2 linked regions of the Cricetulus griseus genome follow. The protein of the gene in region 1 purifies or fractionates together with the protein of each later gene. This does not show direct contact. Links are inferred from orthologs where the notes say so. Each region holds a gene or a part of one and is shown on either strand. Other genes may lie near its edges.

The links. Proteins that work in one complex are often made in the same cells at the same time.
Region 2: the proteins of solute carrier family 22 member 5 (region 1) and Yipf3 purify together in Homo sapiens (co-immunoprecipitation; 3 studies listed by BioGRID and IntAct, counting the BioPlex papers as one, with this or other methods). This does not show direct contact. The link is inferred for Cricetulus griseus from reciprocal best matches to the Homo sapiens genes SLC22A5 and YIPF3.

The regions. Positions count from the first base shown.
Region 1 is NC_048600.1:68,012,645-68,016,165, forward strand, and holds part of solute carrier family 22 member 5, read right to left. Parts: intron 2,526-3,521; coding exon 2,343-2,525; intron 1,360-2,342; coding exon 1,224-1,359; intron 916-1,223; coding exon 828-915; 3' UTR 1-827. UniProt on the Homo sapiens protein: Sodium-ion dependent, high affinity carnitine transporter. Involved in the active cellular uptake of carnitine. Transports one sodium ion with one molecule of carnitine.
Region 2 is NW_023276806.1:255,718,258-255,720,399, reverse strand, and holds the end of Yipf3 (protein YIPF3), read right to left. Parts: coding exon 2,138-2,142; intron 2,005-2,137; coding exon 1,912-2,004; intron 1,750-1,911; coding exon 1,618-1,749; intron 1,447-1,617; coding exon 1,333-1,446; intron 1,207-1,332; coding exon 1,083-1,206; intron 983-1,082; coding exon 834-982; 3' UTR 512-833; downstream 1-511. UniProt on the Homo sapiens protein: Involved in the maintenance of the Golgi structure. May play a role in hematopoiesis.

The sequences.
Region 1 (3,521 bases):
CCAAGTCTCTGCTGAAGATACAACAGATGACAAAAAAAAACAAACCCCTGTGACAGTGCTGAGAGAAGGAAGGGACACTTTGTCACTCATACATTCCCTTCAAGACACAGAAGTGGAAGACAAGCCTTGGCGTCAACAGTGATTTCTCACAGTCGGGACAAGCCCAGGAGTCTGACCAGACACACACAGCACTCCTGCTGTGGGACTGAGCAGCCACAATCCACACACTGCTGACTTTACATATCTCCTTCCACCTTCATTTCCTCTATGGTTCCCTAGGTCCTGTGGTCTTCTGTTGTGAGTTAAAGCAATCACAGCAAGGGTTTTTGTAACTTAGAAAAGATGAGAAATCAAACTCCCCATGGAATCATTTATTCTTCTCTGAAGAAGTTTTGTTTCTTTCTGGTTCTTTGCATGGAACTCAGGGCCCTGTGTATCCTAGCCAAGCACACTGCCACTGAGTGACATCTATTCCATTTCCTGAGAGTTTGCAGTTACGGAGAGGAGGGAAAAACAGACCTGCAGTTCTATCTGTGCAACCTTACCAGTCTTCTAAAATAACAAAGCAAGACTAGCAGTTGTTTCACATAGTCTTCCAAGTCCCACTGGTTTAAGAAACTTTTTTGGAAGGGCCAAGGCCACCACTGGAATGGATGTGCAAGCTGTCTGTGGTTAGTCTTGATGTCCCTAGAGGAAGGTGGCTCTCCAGGACAGATGCACCCATCCACGAGCACATTAAACACAAGGTCAACAGAACAGAAAAGCCCCTGGTCATTGACAGTGTTTCTGACAACATGCAGGTTGTCTGTTTTTCATCTCCTGGAGGGTTAAAAGGCTGTGCTTTTTAGGACTGTTGGGCTTTCTTCACCATCCTTTAGCATCCTTGTCTGGTTTTGGCTTTGCCATTGTTTTATTCTATTAAAACAAGCAAAACAATGTTACTTACAAATTGTACAAAGATACCTATCAGTGTCAAAACAAGCCAGATCTGGAGAAAAACAAGGAAATGGCAGATACTGAAGTTTGCTGTAGTCTTTGCAGTAAACTAGAGCTGCTGCTTTCATGGCCATGCACATGGTCACTGATTTACACAGATCAGGCCAATGCCCTCATAGCACCATGGTTAAAGTAGTCCACTTATTTGTGAGACAGTGTGCAGATCCCTAAGACCTGGCCAGGCCCAGATTCAGTGCACCCCTAGTGTTAGGAGGAAGGTGTCTTACCCTTTGATCCTTAGCATCTGGTCAATGGTGTCTGGGAGAGGGACACCAAAGCTCTCTGGGAAGAACAAGGTAAGGATAGCTGTCAGGATGGTCAGACTTCCCATGAGGATGTAAGGCAGGTAGCGGTCATAGGCACCTGCAGTCAAACAGAGGACCCAGGTTACAGTGAGATATGGTTTCATTCTGGCCCTGTATTTCTTCAGGACTCTATAATGGACTCACCTTCCTGTTGGTCTCAGTGTTTCCCAAAGCCTGGGCAGCTAGAGTGAAGTCTGGCATCTAAAGGGTCTCAGAACCTAGACCTGGCACAGATGTGCCCAGAGGTCCAGCAGTGTCCACAATGGATAAGGGAAATGTATAGGGGAGTAGAGACACCAAGCTGCAGGGTTCCCAAGAAAACAAGGTCCTTGTCCAGGACAAAGCAACTCTCCATCTCTTCAGCTGTGTCCCAGTTTGATTTGCATTCTGGTTAGACAAGGTGCTGCAGCCCATTAGAGCCACGTACCATGCTTTCAAGTACTTGCTACTCTCAGGGCACTGGCTGCTAAAGTTCAAGGGCTTCTGGGGCTACAGAACAAGTTCAATCCCAGTTCATACTTAGTGAGCCACTGTCTTGAAAAGTAAAATGGGGGCTATGGAGATGGCTCAGCTTGTAAAAGTGCTTGCTGCTATGCCTGGTGGCCTGAGTTCAATCCCCAGAATCCAATGTTGTAAAGAAAGAACAAATTTTAAGACTCCCCTAAATTGTCCTCTGACTTCTATATATACACTGGATAAATGAAGTGTTCTACGCCATGGTCACTGTCAGTCCATCAGTCAGACCTCTTGTTCATGCTACTAACTCCAAGAAGAAACTCCTCTAGTAAAGAACACTGTCTCCCTAAAGAATTTCTTAGGATGAAGAAATTGTAGTTTGTGATGAAATAGAAAGCCTCACACTTTCTCATCCTCATCCAGCTGGGCTGTGAGTTACTTTCCATTTGAAATGGGTGCCTTCTTCTCCAGCCAAGGTCCCAGTAAGGGATGCATCCTGCTAACTATAGGGCTTGTGTCCAGCTCATATTGAGGCTACTTAGAGCTTCTGTCCCATCCATTCCACCAGTGCACTGTGGTACTCACCAAGGTAAACAAAGTAGGGAGACAGGATACTGCCAAGGCGGGATGCTGTGGAGCTGACCCCTACACCCATGTTTCTCACCACAGTGGGGTACAGCTCAGCCGTGTACACGTAGACCATGGAATAGGCAGAGGTGATTCCAAACTTGCCTACCATCACCAGGGTAGTAGACATATAAAACAATTCTGGAGAAACAAAGGAAGGATAGAAAAGGCAAGAGGGACCAGTGTAAGGGTTGCTCTGGAGGAGTTCTCTTGACTTTCAGCCTAAAATGAACTCAGATTTGGGGTAGAGAGAGTCGGTCAGTTTGTATACCTTCCTATTGAACCAAAACACCATGGCTTAGATTTCTTTCTAAGGGGATTACTAAAAGGAGAGTGGGCACTTCAGTTGTGTGAGGGTAAAGGTATTCCTCAACCTAGAGGCCCAGACAGTATGTGAACCTCAGCCCGATCTGCCTGCCTTCCAGAAGTCATCCTGGGTTAGGGATGAGCTGCTTGCCCAGAACCTCATCCTGAGGGCACTGTGGAGGACTTGTATATGAATGGGGGAGTTCAGCTCTAGCTCAGTTCATGCTTGCAGTCTATTCAAGAAGTTCACAGATCTGGGCTTTTGAGGTGGCTCAGTGGGTAAGGGCACTTTCAGTCAAGCCTGAGAACTTGAGTTTGATTCCCAGGACCCACATAGTGGAAGGAGAAAACTGACTCTTCCCACTTCCTGCACACTGTCCTCTGGCCAATACATGTGTGCTGGGACACATGTTTCCCTCCTCCAAATAAATAAGTACAGTATAGTCATTGAAAAAAATTCTATAAACCATCTGAACTTAGGGATGATCCTCTTACTGACTTCACTGCCCAATGAGTATAACTAGTGACACAGTGGTCACTCTACTCAGGTGAGAGCCACTACAGCCACACCCAGGTTCCTTCTGCCACAAAAGGGGCTGTTCCTGTAAAGGGGGGTCCCAGTATCACAGTCCTCAAAGTAACCATCAGACATTCCAAAAGCCACAGGGGAATGGATGATTATGGCAAGTGATAGACAAATAAGGCTTGTCATCTGTTCCACAGGTTGTCAGAAAGGGTTCCTCCTGTCTAGTAGTGGGATGGTTTTACCAGCAAAGTCCTTCCCATAGCCTCTGAGACTGTTCATCTCTTTCTTTTTATGGGTTACTAGTT
Region 2 (2,142 bases), on another chromosome or scaffold:
CTAGCCAGGCATTGGTGGCACATGCCTTTAATCCCAGCACTCGCCAGGCAGAGGCAGGCGGATCTATGTGAGTTCCAGGCCAGCCTGGTCTACAGAGCTAGTTCCAGAACAGCCTCCAAAACAATACATAGAAACCCTGTCTCAAAAAAAAAAAAAAAAAAAAAAAAAGGAAGAGGAGGAGGAGGAGGAAAGAAAGAAAAGAAAAAGAAAACTAAAGCCTCAATAAAACCATGTTTGGCTTCAAATGCCAGCTCTATGTGGTCCAGGTACACAAGGTCCCTGTAATGATGTAAGTGGAAATTTTTGTTCATTTGTCATTGCTGCATTGGCTTCTCAAAAGTACAGTCAGTCTAGACTTCAGACTGGTATACATATGTGAGGACTGTGGCTCTCACGCTTGGGGCCTGCCTGAAGGAAGGGACAGCAGGCATATGACATTACCACTGCTGACAGAACAGAAATTTGTATCAGAAGTAGGGTGGCAGGAGAATGGCTGGAACAGGAGCTGTAGTTCCAGACTTCAATCAATATTTTAATTACCAAGTCTATATTTAGCAGTATAAGAGGAGAAGGGAGAGAAAAGGGGTAGGTGGTGAGGGCCTCAGAAGAGCTGACCCACATTCTGCACCTGGCTGCAGAGGCTTGCAGTCCTGGCCAGGACTCCTTGGCCTTGTGCCTTTCAGAAGCCAAGACCGGTGCCAAGCAGGTGTTTAGGCAGCAAAGGCTCAGTGGTTGCTGCAGACCTCATCAAAGAGACACATGTCCTCAGTATACTGTCCTTTAGTCTTCCTCCAGAGCTGGGCAGTCAGGGATGGCCAAGGATTTCAGGGAGGTCAGTGTGACTGCAGGGTCGCTGCTATTGCCTTTGCAGTGGCATTGACCACAGTGACAGGGAGCCCGGCAGCAGGGAGCACAGCAGGAATGTCTCTAGGGACCCTCTGCATGGGTGGGACGTTGGGGCCCTCCAGGGTGTCCAAGATCCCTAAAGGAGAAAGATGGAGGATGAGTGAGAACTGGTTAGGCAGGCCCCCAGGGCAGCTCATCCAGCCCACTCCCCCACACAGGCCCCTCCTGCCACTCACCCTCTACCACCTTGTGGTAGGCAAAATGCAGATAGAGCAGAAAGAGCATGTGCAGAGCAGCCAGTGTGCCACAAAGGAGCAGCCGCTGGGTGGGGCCTACAGTCCTTGACACCAACACTGCCACCTAGAGCCACAGGTATACAGTTCAGAAAACAGTTCACTGTTTTCAAAGTGAAGGATGGAGAAGATGCCCAGGGCAGAACTGTGTAGAGTCCTTTGTGGGGTGGACAGCAAAACCTGCTCAGCTTACCATACGCAGGGTGGACAGCCCACCCACCAGCAGCCAGAAGAGGTAGAAGAGGGCATGAAGGTGAATGTTATAGGTGATGAACAGGACAATACAGTGCCCAAAGAGACCATAGCCCTGGGGAGAGAGATGAGAGGATCGTCACTTGGGCTGGAGTGGCCTTTGGCCCTCGGTGGGGTCTTCTGGCCTGCTCCTCTCATCCCAAGTCCACAGATCCCTGGAGGGTCTCAGACCACACCTCACTGATCTTAGGCTAACCCCTGCCCACTCCTGGGCTCGGCTCCTTACCAGCAGTGCCAGCATCTGCAGCATGGTGATCTGGGCATTGCACAGGTAGGCAAGGAAATAAATGAAGGACGAGACACCCAGCCAGTATCCGAAGCAGGTGCCAATGGCTGTGCCCATCAGGGTGCCCTCACGCTGTGGGGTGAAGGCTCTGCTTAGGGCTAAGACACCTCTGATCTCAGCCTCACCCACCGCTTTCTGAAAGGGCTGCTCTGTCTCACTCCACCACCATATTCTCAGGCAGTTTTCAGCCTACATCAGCTACCCGCCCTTCCGCAAGGCCTGTGTCCTGCTTACGATAATGGTATCAGAAGTCTTCATCCCATGGAGGAGGATGGCGACCAGTGTGAAGACCAGCATGAGAGGTCCATAGAGCTCACCTGCAACTTTCTGTCAATACATGATACGTTCAGACTGCAGGCTGCAATGCCTCTTCTCTTCACACCTTCCCAGGCTTGGCCTGGTGGCCCACCCTCTACACTGCTGCCTCCCCTGCTCTGCAGACATGCCTTTCCCTATTCACCTGGG